2 linked regions of the Macaca mulatta genome follow. The protein of the gene in region 1 binds, or shares a complex with, the protein of each later gene. Links are inferred from orthologs where the notes say so. Each region holds a gene or a part of one and is shown on either strand. Other genes may lie near its edges.

The links. Proteins that work in one complex are often made in the same cells at the same time.
Region 2: the proteins of SIKE1 (region 1) and SLMAP are in contact, whole or in part, in a crystal structure (PDB 6AKM), measured with the Homo sapiens proteins. The link is inferred for Macaca mulatta from reciprocal best matches to the Homo sapiens genes SIKE1 and SLMAP. Residues at the interface, in NP_079349.2 of Homo sapiens: Ile5, Ile8, Leu9, Ala12, Lys13, Leu16, Leu19, Arg20, His22, Asp23, Ala26, Glu27, Leu29, Val30, Ser33, Ala34, Leu36, His37, Val40, Met43, Arg44; in NP_001291349.1 of Homo sapiens: Leu168, Tyr171, Leu172, Glu174, Ala175, Arg178, Glu179, Met181, Leu182, Lys185, Thr188, Leu189, Leu192, Leu193, Ile195, Thr196, Ala199, Ser200, Thr202, Ser203.

What each region holds. Positions count from the first base shown.
Region 1 is NC_133406.1:125,470,546-125,478,823, reverse strand, and holds the start of SIKE1 (suppressor of IKBKE 1), read right to left. Parts: upstream 4,414-8,278; 5' UTR 4,353-4,413; coding exon 4,194-4,352; coding exon of another isoform or gene 4,182-4,193; intron 3,961-4,181; coding exon 3,855-3,960; intron 3,031-3,854; coding exon 2,888-3,030; intron 1-2,887.
Region 2 is NC_133407.1:121,399,861-121,407,529, forward strand, and holds part of SLMAP (sarcolemmal membrane-associated protein), read left to right. Parts: intron 1-2,137; coding exon 2,138-2,233; intron 2,234-2,492; coding exon 2,493-2,564; intron 2,565-5,122; coding exon 5,123-5,263; intron 5,264-6,388; coding exon 6,389-6,526; intron 6,527-7,669. UniProt on the Homo sapiens protein: Associates with the striatin-interacting phosphatase and kinase (STRIPAK) core complex, forming the extended (SIKE1:SLMAP)STRIPAK complex.

The DNA of each region.
Region 1 (8,278 bases):
AGTTACAATGGAGTTTCACTATAATTTTAGTCCTTAGACATAAAGCCATAGTAAAGTGATCTTGTGGTATTCACAGATAATTTTTTTTTTTCCAAAAAATCAATTGTGCAAGACAGTGTGGCGATTCCTCAAGGATCCACAACTAGAAATACCATTTCACCCAGCCATCCCACTACTGGATATATACCCAAAGGATTATAAATCATGCTACTATAAAGACACATGCACACATATGTTTATTGCGGCACTATTCACAATAGCAATGACTTGGAACCAACCCAAATATCCATCAATGATAGACTAGATTAAGAAAATGTGGCACATATACACCATGGAATACTATGCAGCCATAAAAAATGATGAGTTCATGTCCTTTGTAGGGACATGGATGAAGCTGGAAACCATCATTCTGAGAAAACTATCGCAAGGACAGAAAACCAAACACCACATATTCTCACTCATAGGTGGGAAATGAACAATGAGAACACTTGGACACAGGGTGGGGAACATCACACACTGGGGCCTGTCGTAGGGTGGGGAGAGTGGGGAGGGATAGCATTAGGAGGAATATCTAATGTAAATGACGAGTTAATGGGTGCAGCACACCATCATGGCACATGTATACATATGTAACAAACCTGCACGTTTTGCACATGTACCCTAGAACTTAAATAAAAAAAAGAAGGCCTCCTTAAGGGGATCCTCATTCCAGTTGTATATGTTCTATTGATACCATTACTAAGGGATACAGTTTTTATTTTTTTATTTTTTATTTTTTGAGACGGAGTCTTGCTCTGTGCCCCAGGCTGGAGTGCAGTGGCGCGATCTCGGCTCACTGCAAGCTCCGCCTCCCGGGTTCACGCCATTCTCCTGCCTCAGCCTCCCGAGTAGCTGGGACTACAGGCGCCCGCCACCTCGCCCGGCTAATTTTCTTGTATTTTTAGCAGAGACGGGGTTTCACCGTGTTAGCCAGGATGGTCTCGATCTCCTGACCTCGTGATCCGCCCGTCTCGGCCTCCCAAAGTGCTGGGATTACAGGCTTGAGCCACCGCGCCTGGCCAGGGATACAGTTTTTAAACAAATATATAATGTTTCTTATATTTAAAACCAAGAAGTGAAGAGTAGAATGCATTTTCTGTTTTCACTCTTTGCCCAGACATCAAGTTGATAATCCTATGGTTATCAGTGATATGCATCAGCTCATAAGTAACCCTTCAGTATGTGAACATGGGGAATTTTTAAATACTGGGCTCTTCGATATGGATTTGTGTTACAGTCATGTTATCTTCTCACACCTTCCAAGATTTCAAAGGATCTGATGGCTGTAATTGCAGAGAATAAATGAGTAATCTTTAGTCTATTTCAGAAATAGAAGGCCAGATGATTCCCTTTCCATAAAGGATTAAGTTTTCATCCAATGCCAACTCTGATAAGGCCTTAGTCATTTCTGTGGGTGAAATCTGATCTGATGCAAGCAATGTTATTTTCATTTCTGAAAATTATCTATGTCCAGTGCATCAATCACCCAATAGGTCCACCCTCCAATAAAAATATTTGAAACGGAAAAAAAAATCAGTTGTAGTTTAACTACCCATTGGATGTTGGATACTACCTCTAAGTGGCTGTTTAACTTAAATTTGAATACTTTCACTGGCAGGAAGCTTACTACATTCCAAGGTGCCTTATTCTATCTTTGGACATATCACTTAGAAAGTTTATCTATCTGAGTAAACTGTCTCTTTCAAAGTTCAGGTTTTTTCCTCCATATGAGAATAAATAAAATCTATTTTTCTCTTCCAGTTGAAAGCCATTCAAATATTTAAAATATCTGTTTCCTAAAACTTTTAAGTCAGTAAAATGCATTCAATGTAATTTAAGATGAAGCTTATATTTCACTACATCTCACAGAAGTAGTAGGCTCCAACTTATACATCTAGAATTAAATGACACAGTACACACGAATGTACAATGACAACCATGAAGCACCTACAAACATAAGAACAATTACCGAGTCTCCCAAATTAGATAATAAGCAATCAAAGCATAGAAACTATGCCATGTTTGTTTTTTTTAAAAACCATACTTCTATCCCCTAATAACATAGTATGATGCTATGTGGTTCAGTTTATAAAAGGTTTATTGACTGCTTGCTATATGTCAGGTACTATGTTAGGAATAAAATGTGAATTCAAGTGCCTCACAACCAAGGAGCTTAAGTGAAATGTATAATAACCAACCAAGTATTTACTGGGCACCTTCAACACTAACTGACATTACGTTTGGTGTGAGGGCTAAGAATTAATGAACATTTTCAAAAGAGATCTTGGTGAGGGAGGGGGAACGTTAGTCCCATTCAAATAAAAGGACCTGAGCAACCACTATCCTTCTTTCTATTCATATCTTTACAAAGCCATGGCAAAATAAACAACAAATATGATAAACATGAAAGGAAAACAAGCTTACTTTTCTTCAAAAACAAGCACACATGGCCAGTCACAGTGGCTCATGCCTATAATCCCAGCACTTTGGAAGGCTAACGTGGGTTGATCGCTTGAGCCCAGGAGTTTCAGACCAGCCTGGGCAACATGGCGAAACCTCATCTCTACAAAAAAAAAAAAAAATAATAATAATAATAATAAAAAACCCCACAAAAATTAACAGGGCATGGTGGTGTGCACCTGTAGTCCCAGCTGCTCAGGAGGCAGAGGTGAGAGGATGGCTTGACCCCAGAAGGCAGAGGTTGCAGTGAGCTGAGATCGTGCCATTACACCACAGCCTGGTCGACAGAGCCAGACCCTGTCTCAAAAAGCAAAAAAACAAGCACACAATCTAAAACAATCTCAAGATTTCAATTTGGTTCATTTCAAATTTATTCGAAGTTTCTTACTGCAGAGTGAGACTGGTGAGCTTTCAGGACTGGTTCGGCATCCACAGCTTTTTTAGCAACCATTAACTGTAACATCTGTTTCCGGTACTTGCTCATGATGAGCTCCAAAGCATCCTGGTGTTCCTCCAAGGAAATCCACAGCTCTGTCAAAAAATAAAATAACTTGGCAGTGATGTCTGAGAGACAGTTCCCAAATCCAAAGTCTTAACAGTTAGAATTTTGCAATACTATAGAGATAATATGAATCCAAGGTTGTAAATCAATGTTTCAGTCTACAAAACTGAGCAGTTAAAGTCTATGTTAAAGGTAACTTTCTAGGCAGAGAAGCAAAATCTTGCAGTAACAACAACGGATATGTCATCAGAAGACATGGATTTGAGTTCAGTTCTGTAACTTGCTTGGTTAATACTCATAAGTAAATCATTTAGCTTCTCTGAGCCTATTTCTTAACAGCATTGTGATAGATAAAAATGAAGATATGAGAATACAGTAGAATGATATATGTGAAACCCCTCTGGTAAACAACTATTAATACTACAGTCATTAATAATGTACTAATCAAGCCTAAGAATATATACCCTTAGAGTAAAATTCTGCTGCTTCACCTTGCACAAACAAGAACATAAACAAAACCTTAAATCTTACCTTCAGTGTTTATATTAATATTTAAACATTAAATTTTAAGTCCATGAGGATATGAACTCTTTTGTTACACATCTGGAGATGCTTAAAAATAAACCATGCAATAATTCTAACTCTACATAGCCCCTCTTTGGTAAGCTGCTACAAAATCAGTCAGATGACCTTGAAATGGGTAATCTAACAAACTTTACTGTTACTGAGCCAGCACAGGAGGACTCTCCTACGAAAAGTACTGACCTGGAAATAGATGCACACCCTTGTGAATGTTTAGGGCAATTTTGCAGTAACTTTAAACTATTACCAGATATGAAAAGGCCTGACTAACCTCTGTTTTCCTGTTGCAAGTCTCTAATCTGTGTGTTCTCTTGAGACAGCAGAATGTGAGGTTTGTATTTGGACATGTCCTTCATATCGGATGCATCCTCTTGATACTGGACAAATAGAGACAGTCTAAGCATGCCTTAAAGAGAACAGCGGCAGATGCAACTCAAGTGGCAGAAGTCAGGGCTCTAGGGCAGGATTCTCAGCTCCGACCCAGGAAAAAGGTCTCACCGCCGCCCTCTGAGACCGGGAATAAATTTCAGGCCGAGTTCCCACTTTACCTCGCTCTCCACCCTTCAGTGCCCAGAATCCGAGAGCACTGGACTCCTACCCTCTGCCTGACCTGGTCCGGAAGCGCTGTCCCCGCCTCCCGCATAGCGGCTACCCGCCGGTGCAGCGCTGCCGACTGATCCACCAGCGACTCGGCAGCCGCATCGTGCTCCCGCAGCCTCTCCAGAAGCGTCTTGGCGTCTGTCAGGATCTTCTCGATGGTGCAGCTCATAGCAGCAGCACAACCCCAGCCCCTGCCGGGCTCAGCTACGCGACTCGCTCAGATCTTCTGGGAGTCTGTCTCAGCATTACTGGCGTCACTTCCGGGCACGTTTAAAAGGTGTCTTGGCAGACGCAAGAGGCGCCTGCGCAGTGGCACCCTATTTTGCGGGTTCACCCGCTTTTACCTGTGGCTTCCTTGCAGTCCTGCCTGACGCGGAGCCCCAGACCTGCCCTTACCACGCTCTTGGTTTCCAGTTGCCACAGCCTGGTGGTCAGGCCATGATGAGCTGGGCAGAAGGAAGGTCTCCTTTCCCCACTGGTTTTCATTGATGTGGATTGTTATTCAGTCACAGTTATTTTCTTTTTATTTTCATTTAATTTTTATTTATTTTTTTTCGTTTTTGAGACGGTATCTTGGTATCTTGCTCTTGTCGCCCAGACTGCAGTGCAGTGGCGCGATCTTGGCTCACTGCAACCTATGGCTCCCGGGTTCAAGCGATTCTCCTGCCTCAGCCTCCCGAGTAGCTGGGATTACAGGCATGCACCACCATGCCGGCTAATTTTTCTATTTTTAGTAGAAACGGGGTTTCACATGTTGGCCAGGCTGGTTTTGAACTCCTGACCTCAAGTGATCTGCCTGCCTCGGCCTCCCAAAGTGTTGGTGTGAACCACTGCGCCTGGCCTACTTTCATTTAAGTTTTAAAAAATTGTGGCAAAATGCACATAAAATTTAATATCTCAGCCATTTTTAAGTGTACAGTTCAGTAGTATATTCATATGGTTATACAGCCACCATCAGCATCCATTTCTAGAACTCCTTCGTCTTGCAGTACTGAAGTTCTGCACTCTTTAAACAATAACTCCTCATTCTTCCTTATCCCCAGCCCCTGGCAACCACCATTCTACTTTGTCTCTACAAATCTGACTATTCTGGGTACCTGACGTGAGTGAAATCATACAGCATTTATATTCATATAACTGCCTTGTTTCACTTAGCGTAATGTCCACGAGTTTCATCCACACAGTAGCATATGTTAGAATGTTCTTCCTTTTTAAGGCTGAATAATATGTATATGCCACGTTTTGTTTATCCATTCATCCGCTGGACAGTTGGGTTGCTTCCGCCTTTTGCTATTGTAAATAATGCTGCTATTACAACTGGCTCACGTCTGGCTGTTTGTTGCCTAGAGGCCAAAATCATGAGAAGTGACTGATGATGAAAGGAAAGCAGTTTTACTAATCAAACGCTCGCAGATGGGGAATGGCTACACTCATGCCTTCAAAACAGCATTCCGCTTTTTTTTTTTTTTTTTTTTGTCAACGTATCCCAGAGACAGTATCAGTGTCCAAACTTTAATTTTGTCCCATATCAATGCCAGGGTGGTGTGCTACCTGCCCTGAGTCCATCATGTCACTCCTGCGGCCAACCGACTTAGAGTCAAAAGAGTTACAGCCAATTAAACATTCTAGGCCAGATGGGGAAGGAGGTGGGCAGGCACTCATTAACCTTAAAACTCCTCTTAAGCAATGTTAAGAGCCAAAAACCAAAAACCAAAAGGCAAGGTTACAAAATTGACTTATCTATAAATTCTATGCATTGAGCTGCTGTAATCTTGGCTTGCTGCAATTAGCTATATGAAATGCAAGCATTTTGTTCAGCTGTTTTGGCATCTGTGTGTCATCCTTGATTTGTAGGGTCTGAACTGATTTTAGCCCTCAATACTGGCCCTTACAACATTATGTTATAGTCTCTAGGCCTGAGGGGATTGAAGAGTTTCAACTATTGTAGGTAAAACAAAACAGAAAGAATTAACAACTTTTCAAACACAAAGGTCATAAACCCTGCCTAGTTTTGAGAGTAACAGGAAAGAAAGTTCATACGGAGCTAAACACTTAAATTATTTACTATCAAGGCACAGAATACATTACATTAGTTCAGATAGAGGCAAAATTGTTAAGTGAATCTTAATATTTTTGAACACAAGACTGTCCCTGTGTCTCATGAAAGCAGTTTACTTTGTCGCCTTTGCCTGAGTCTAAAGATGAGGCTTTGGTTAACTGCAGTTTAGTGTCAGATACTGGCAGGAGTTGGTGCCTTCTTTGGATGAGATATGTGTAAAGCCCTGTAACTTGAAAGCACAAGGATTAGTTAATATCACCTGATAAGGACCTTTTCAAGGAGCTGGAGGTGTGATACTGGAGTCTATGACCTGACTGAAAGCTGTAAAAAGATTTTACAACCTTGCAGTGAGTAACTTTTATAGCTTTGATAAACCCTAGCAATAAGTCAGAGACTTAATTTATGATTTTGATTTTGAGGACATCTGTCAAAGATTTCAAAAGTCTCAAAACATTTGATCAAAACAGGATAATATTCATTGTAAAAATAATGTATTTATTTTTATTAATAAATTTGGTTAAATGGTTACTCATTTAACCAAACTGATAATTAAAGACTTTAAAGGCAATTCAGAAGGTTACCTGCACATAAAAACCCGAACCCTTTTAACTCTCAGTTTTTCTAGGCAATTAAAAACCAGTTAAAGAGAGCATGGGAATTATCTTGATAAAACATAAAAATCTTGTTTCTTAAGCAAGTTACTACACAGGCAAAAAACCCCTTCTGCTGTGTGACTGCTTCTCCTTATGGGAAGACCATGCAGATAACCTGAAAGTCAGACTTGAAAAAAGTGCTTGAATTTAATCAGACACAAGAGCGTATTCACGATTATGAGTACAGCAAGGGAATACACCACTCTGAGCAATTGTGTCAGAAGTTTTCTGATTACAATGAAAATCACACTTATCAAGAAAAGCCAAGAGTACAGAATCAAGTTATATTGGAGGAAAACAATGCTTTTATAGAATTCTAAGATAAAACATTTCAGCATCAGGCCCCAACAGTTGGAATCAGAGGAAAAAATTAGAGGAGCTGATGGAAAAAGTTGAAGAGTCCTTTTCAAAGGGAGGAAAAAGCTGAAAACAGCAGGCACAACAAAAGTTGAACGTCTAAGATATGAATCTGAGAAGTTTTGAAAAGAAATAGGTGATAGAATTAAAAAGCAAAAGTTCCTTTAATTTCATTAAGAGTAAACCAATACCTTAGGAAAACCTTATTTAAACCTAGGGAATCATTCATTATTTTTACTTTTATTTTACTTTAAGTTCTGGGATACATGTGCAGAACATGTAGGTTTGTTACATAGGTATACATGTGCCATGGTGGTTTGCTGCACCTATGAACCCATCATCTAGGTTTTAAGCCCCACATGCATTGGGTATTTGTCCTAATGCTGTCCCTCCCCCTGCCCACCACCTGCCGACAGGCCCCAGTGTGAGATGTTCCCCTCCCTGTGTCCATGCATTCTTATTGTTCAACTCCCACTTATGAGTGAGAACATTTGGTGTTGGGTTTTCTGTTCTTGTGTTAGTTTGCTGAGGATGATGGTTTCTAGCTTCATCCATGTCCCTGCAAAGGACATGAACTCATTCTTCTTTTTTTTTTTTTTTGGAGACAAGAGTTTCACTCTTGTTGCCCAGGCTGGAGTGCAATGGCGCAATCTCAGCTTACTGCAACCTCTGCCTCCTAGGTTCAAGCGATTCTCCTGCCTCAGCCTCCCAGGTAGTTAGGATTACAGGCATTTGTATTTTTAATAGAGACAGGGTTTCTCCATGTTGGTCAGACTGGTCTCAAACTCCCAACCTCAGGTGATCTGGCTGCCTCAGCCTCCCAAAGTCCTGGGGATCATAGGCATGAGCCACTTTGTCCAGGTGAAGTCATTCTTTTTTATGGCTCCATAGTATTCCATGGTGTATATGTGCCACATTTTCTTTATCCAGTCTGTCACTGATGGGCATGTGGGTTGGTTCCAAATATTTGCTATTGTAAATAGTGCTGCAATAAACATACATGTGCATGTGTCTTTATAGTAGAAT
Region 2 (7,669 bases), on another chromosome or scaffold:
TCGAGACCAGGCTGTCCAACATGATGAAATGCCATCTCTACTAAAAATACAAAAATGAGCCAGGCGTGATGGCATTGCCTGTCATCCCAGCTACTCAGGAGGCAGAGGTGAGAGAATCGCTTGAACCCAAGAGGCAGAGGTTGCATTGAGCCAAGATCACGCCATTGTACTCCAGCATGCGCAACAGAGCGAGACTCGTCTCAGAAAAAGAAAAAAAAATTAACTGGGCATGGTGGTGCGTGTCTGCATCCTAGCTATAGGGGGTGCTGAGGCAGGAGGATCACAAGCTCAGGAATTTGAGATTACAGTGAGCCATCACTTAGTGACATCATCATGCAACTGCACTCCAGCCTGGGTGACAGAGCTAGACTCTGGTCTCAAGAAAAAAAAGTTTTTCTTTCTTCTATAATAAGCTAAACTTAGCTTACTATAACTTTTTTTACTTTATACACTTACAAGTTTTAAAACTTCTTTGACTCTTGTATTCACACTTAGCTTAAAACACAAACACATAGTACAGCTGTTCAAAAATACTGTTTTTGGCCGGGCGCGGTGGCTCACGCCTGTAATCCCAGCACTTTGGGAGGCCGAGGCGAGTGGATCATGAGGTCAGGAGATCCAGACCATCCTGGCTACACAGGTGAAACCCGGTCTCTACTAAAAATATAAAAAATTAGCCGGGCATAGTGGCGGGTGCCTGTAGTCCCAGCTACTTGAGAGGCTGAGGCAGGAGAATGGCGTGAACCCGGGAGGCGGAGCTTGCAGTGAGCGGAGACTGTGCCACTGCACTCCAGCCTGGGCGACAGTCAGACTCCGTCTCAAAAAAAAAAAAAAAAAAAAAAAAATTGTTTCTATTCTTAAATTATAAGCTTTTTATTAAAAATGTTTTAAACTTGTTTTTACTTTTTAAACGTTTTTGTTATAAATGAAGACATAAACACACACGTTAGCCTAGGCCTACACAATATCAAGATCATCAGTATCACTCTCTTCCACCTCCACATCCTATCCCACTGAAAGGTCTCCAGGGGCAGTAACATGCATGGAGCTGTCATCTCCTGTGATAACAGTGCCTTCTTCAGGATACCTCCTAAAGGACCTCTCTGAAGGTATTTTACAGTTAACCTTTTTTTCTTTTTAGTAAGCAGAAGGAATATATAATTAACAACAAAAAGTATAGTACATGCATAAACTAATAACAGTCATAGAATACTATTATGTATTATGTACTATATATAATTATATGTGCTATACTTTTATATAACTGGCAGCACAGTAGGTTTGTTTACACCAACATCTCAAACACATGAGTAATGCCCCTTTGTGTTACAGTGTTAGGATGGCTATGATGTCACTAAGCGACAGAAATTTTTCAGCTTCATTATAATTTTTTGGGACTACTGTGTATATGCAGTCTGTAGTTGACTGAAATGTTGTTTTGTGGTGCATGACTTGTATATGTGTGTGTGTATGTATAGGTATATGTCTATATACACACTGTGTATTAGCTTTTTCTATTGTATGTTTTTAAAAACTTGCTTTTCCAAATTATGCATAAAAAGAAAACAAAAACAGGTGACTTGTTTTCTATTAGGGGAGAAGTTGCAGTTAGAGAACCTCTAATGGCGGTACTTTCAGCTCAACAAATGAGACTAAAATGATGTGGCCCATATACATAAAGTAGTCATTTCCTATTTGCAGGGAATATGTTCCATGACCCCCAGTAGATGCCTGAAATCACAGATAGTGCCAAACTCTGTATCTACTATGTTTTTTCCTATATATACACATAGCTATGATAAAGTTTAACTTATAAATTAAGCATAGTAAGAAATTAACAATAATAATAGAACAATTACAACAGTATACTGTTACGTGAATAAAAGTTATGTGAATGTCAACATTCTGTCTGTCTCTCTCAGTGTATCTTGTACTGCACTATAACTGAAACTGGAAAGGGAAACCAGAGATAAGCAGGGACTGCTGTATATTTTACTAAGTACTATCAAGTGTCACATACTTTAAAATACATCAAGGGGGATGTCATATGAAAATATTTTAGAATGTGCTGAAAATTGATCACTCAAAAGAATCATGATGAGCTTATTGGAATCTCTTTTGTGATTTGTAATACTAGGAGGCCTTACATCGGGAACAAATGTTGGAACAGAAGTTAGCCACGCTTCAGCGGCTACTAGCCATCACCCAAGAGGCTTCAGATACCAGTTGGCAGGTATTCCAGTTGTTTTATATTTAAGAAACATTTAAACATAGTTTAATATTCCATACATGTTAAATAAACTAAAATGTAGCAAACAAAGACAAAGTTATTTCCTAACTAATGAACAAGTTGTTGAAAATTTAGCATTTTACAGTGGATGCTGGTCAGTTTTATGCTTTTATATCTTTTGTTGTCAGTAGCAACCTTTTTTTATATACATGTGACTTTATAATTACTCGGGTTTTACTTACGTTTAATTTTTCTTCAATAGGCTTTAATAGATGAAGATAGACTCTTATCACGGTTAGAAGTTATGGGAAACCAATTACAGGCATGCTCCAAAGTAGGTATTAATCTCAAATGTGTAAAATGAAATGCATAGTTTTTTATGTAACATCATTTCCTTGACTGTCATTTTGAGTATATGCTAAAAACTTTATACATTTCCACAATTCTTTTAAATCTTTTGTCATGAGAAATTTCAGACATCCATGTAAATAAAAATAATTATGTAATGAATACCCACATACACATCTGTCTTTTTTCTATTACAATTAATATTTCTTGAAAAAACTGGGTCATTTGTCCTCTAGAATTTCCCTCAGTCTGCATTGTTATTTAAACATTTTTTAGCACCCCTTCCCACTGCATAAATTAGTAGTTTCATCTAGAGATTTGATCTGATTTAGGTTTAGTTTTTCTTTTTGTCAACAACCCTTTATGGATGGTATTGTGTTCTTCCACCAAGGGACAACATAAAGTCTAGTTGTCTTTCTTTTTGAGATGTTATCAATCACTAATGATCCCAGCCTAGTCCATTGTTTCATTAAGGTTACAAAAATAAGGCTGGGCTCAGTGGCTCACTCCTGTAATCCCAGCCCTTTGGGAAGCTGAGGCAGGCGGATCACCTGAGCTCAAGAGTTCAAGACCAGCCTGACCAACATGGAGAAATCCCATCACTACTAAAACAAAATTAGCCAAACATGGTGGCACATGCCTGTAATCTCAGGTACTCGGGAGGCTGAGGCAGGAGAATCCCTTGAACCTGGCAGGCAGAGGTTGCAATGAGCCGAGACTGTGCCATTGCACTGTAGCCTGAGCAACAAGAGTGAAACTGTCTCAACAACAACAACCACCACAAAAAAAAGTTACAAAAATAGTGATGTAATTCTGTTATTCCTTCACTCATTTAGCTGGGTTACTTCTGTAAAGAGAAGTTTCCTTCCAGACACAGTGGCTCATGCCTGTAATCCCAGCACTTTGGGAGGCCGACGCAGGCGTATCACTTGAGGTCAGGCATTCAAAACCAGCATGGCCAACATGGCGAAACCCCATCTCTACTAAAAATACAAAAATTAGCTGGACATGGTGGTATGTACCTGTAATCCCAGCTACTCGAGAGGCTGAGACAGGAGAATTGCTTAAACCTTCGGGGGTAGAGGTTGCAGTGAGCCAAGATCACCTCTGAACTCCAGCCTGGGCGACAGAGCGAGACGTCTCAAAAAAAAAAAAAAAAAAAAAAAGCGGGGACAGTTTGAGACCAGTATGGGCAACATGGCAAAACCCAGTCTCTACCAAAAATTAAATATTTGCTTAGCATGGTGGTACATACCTATAGTCCTAGCTACTTGGGAGGCTTAGGTGGAAGGATCACTTGAGCCCAGGAGTTTGTGATTACAATGAGTTATGTTTGCAGAACTGCACTCCAGCCTTGGTGACAAAGAGAGACCCTGTCTCTAAAAAAACAAAAAAAGGAAAAAACAATGGCCATTGTTTTTTGTGACTCTGGCGTCAAAAACCAAATACCAAATGTTCTCATTTATAAGTAGAAGGTAAGCTATAGTTATGCAAAGGCATACAGAGTGGTATGATGGACATTGGAGACTCAGAAGTTGGGAAAGTGAGAGGGGAGTGAGGGATGAAAAACTCCCTATTGAATACAATATACACTACTCAGGTGATGAGTGCATTAAAACCCCAGACAACACCACTACATAATTTATCCATGTAACCAAAAACCGCTTGTATCCCTAAAGCTATTGGAATAAAAAAATTTAAATAACCCTGAGGTATGTTTTTTATGGGGAAAGCAAGATAAGTGATTTTCTCCCCTTATTTATTAGATTTCAGAATAATGAATTGGTTCTTTTTCATCTACCAAAGACTGGCCATGAAGTGTTTTCTCCCTTCACTTAGATTTAAACACATTTGATGTATTTAAATCTGGTGCAGTTGTTTTTCTTGTTTTAGAGACAGGGTCTTACTGTGTTGCCCAGGCTAGTCTTGAACTCCTGAGCTCATGCAGTCCTCCCATCTCGGCCTCCCAAAGTGCTGGGATTACAGGCTTGAACCACTGCGGCCAGCCTATTTTTCTTATTGATGCTCGAATTATCCCATCTTTGGTCTGTGTAAATGTCTTTCAGATTGATAGCTTCATGCTGTCATTTCAGACAAGATGTTTCAGGCTCATTTTGTACATTTCCTGCCCCAGACATGAAGTCTGCTTTTCCCCTATGGTACGCTTATTCTTTTTGTTTTAACCATTGTTTTAAAATGCTTGGTGCCTTTGAAGGTAATTGATTATTTTTGCCTACAAATGTAAATATGGGAATTTGCAGAAAATATGACAAATATAAGAGTAATTAATTTTGTATATTTTAGAGAAATTCTTAATTGCCTATAACTTTTTTTTCTATAGGAAGTGGAAATTAATATGTTTATGAAGGCATAATTTACTTATGCAACTTTTAAATACATCTTTAGTTAATACAGGGCCAGCATCATTTGTGTTTGGAGGTACCTTAATATACAATTTAAAGTATGTCATAATGTGTTAATTTTTCTCAAACAAATGCTTTAAAAAAATAACTTGTCTATAATTATAAATATATTTTATTCTAGAATCAAACAGAAGATAGTTTACGAAAGGAACTTATAGCATTACAAGAGGATAAACATAACTATGAGACAACAGCCAAAGAGTCCCTGAGGCGGGTTCTTCAGGAGAAAATTGAAGTGGTTAGAAAACTTTCAGAAGTTGAGGTATTTCAATTAAAAAAAATTACTAAATAATGTTATGAGTGTTTAAAAAAATCTCAAGCATTCCAGGATACTTTAAACATGGGTATTATTATATAGTTAGGAAATATTTTCTGTCTGTCAGGTGGGAAGGAACAGTTATGCTGCTTTCATTGACAGGAATTCTCCACATAACCATGTGAGTTTTGGTACTTATGCTCCCTAGTCAATGGCTGAGGAAATAAAAACGTAACCAGGGAATCTTACTGTTTGCATTCTGCTTAGGATTCACCCTCCATACAGCAGACCATGATATGTGCTGGGGAACTGATTTCCTGTCACTTGGTTTTGCTTTGCTTCTATTTGAGGGTGGTCAGTGTAAGGCCAAGAGACTACACTTCTTGTTCTTTTTTAATTCACTCTCCAGAGAGGAAAACTAGCTGTGTCGTATATTTAGGAAGTTTAAAGGTAAATTCATCTCCAAGGTCCTTTCTAGGTCTTTAAGGAACAATGAAAATGCAATTTTTATTGCTTTGGGGGCAAAAACTCTTAATTCCTAATATAGATCATTTCTTTGAACCAATGCAAAATTACCACATACATAATGTATTACTAGAATTAGTTAAAATGCTCATCAGAAACTAAATGGTAAACATACCTTTCCTTACTACTACAGGTATAGTTTGTATTGCTTCCTCATCCCATAGTGCCTGATTCACTGTTGTGTGATTAATTTGACATATAAAGAAAGAAAGTTACTAATTGTCTTTTAATTTTTTATTAAATTAATTGCTGGATATTATTAAACTTGCTTTCAAGGATTGATAGGCTAAAATATTTTCACAGCTAAAAGTCATACCCATTGGCCTTTCAAAAATGTAATTATATAATGGCAGCATCCTTTTCCTGCCCCTACTCTCCCTCCACTTTTCTTTTTTGTTGTTGTTGTTAATTCTTAGGTACGTTTTCTGTTTTAGTGTATACCTGAAGTAAATTGAAATTCTTTAACTCAGCTTTATAAAGTCCAGGGCAGATGTTGATTTAGAATAGTCCATAGAATTATACTTTTTATAAATTTAATTTAGAAGGAATTCTAAATAACAAATATACACTTATTCTAATTAAATTGCCTGTAAACTTGAATCGCAGCGAAGTCTGAGTAATACTGAAGATGAATGTACCCATCTGAAAGAAATGAATGAAAGGACTCAGGAAGAATTAAGAGAATTAGCCAATAAATATAATGGAGCAGTTAATGAGATTAAAGATTTATCTGATAAATTAAAGGTATGTATTTACTCTGCCTGAAAGTATGTTAAGCTAATAATCCCTAACATACTGGATAGCTTAAGGTTTTAGGTATTGCTTTAGCTAGGCATGGTGGTGGTCGCCTGTAATCCCAGCTTTTCCGGAGGCTGAGGTGGGAGAATTGCTTGAACACAGGAGACAGAGGTTGCAGCGAGCCAAGATCATGTCACTGCACTCCAGCCTGGGCGACAGAGCGATAGATACTCCATCTCAAAGGAAAAATAAACAAACAAAAAACAGTTTGGGCTGGGTGCAGTGGCTCATGCCTGTAATCCCAGCACTTTGGGAGGCGGAAGCAGGCAGATCATGAGGTCAAGAGATTGAGACCATCCTGGCCAACATAGTGAAACCCTGTCTCTACTAAAAATGCAAAAATTAGCTGGGCATGCGCCCCTATTCCCAGCTCCTTGGGAGTCTAAGACAGGAGAATCACTTGAACCCGGGAAGCAGAGGTTTCAGTGAGCTGAGATTGCGCCACTGCATTCCAGCCTGGCAACAGAGCAAGACTTCGTCTCACAAAAAAGAAAAAAAAAGTTTGAAAACCGTTGGTATAGATAGCTATTTTGAATTGATTTGCATAGTCTCCTTGAATGTGTTAAATTATGCTGAAAGTATGAAAGCAGGATGTAGGTGGTACTACATATTAAATAAGAGTTCTATAAAAGATTTTAGGTATTGCTGAATAGTTATTGATGTAAAAATTTGATAACAGTTGAAATTTATAGTGAAAAGAAGGTGTCTGTATTCCATTTAGCCCAACCTCCATTACTATAGATAATTGAAAGCCTGTAAATGCTGACATAGTTCCTCTGGATGAATATGTAGTCAGTGCTTCACAATAGACATTTTAAAAATATGTAACAGGAAGTAGATGAGAATCGGCAAACCCCATGATATTCAGATGTTTTAAAACCTAAAACTGCGTATCATTAGGCCATCTAAAAGGCACGGCCCAGCTATTTAGTGCTGTGCTGGAACAAGCCCAGAGAGAATCTGGGAATGATCTGTTCCCTTTTAGCTTTCAGGGATGCTGTTAACTCTGCTTTAGATGCCTATGAGACATTTAGAATAAGGACAGATCAGATCATAGGGTAATGATAGAGTAATGTCTAGTTGGTCCTT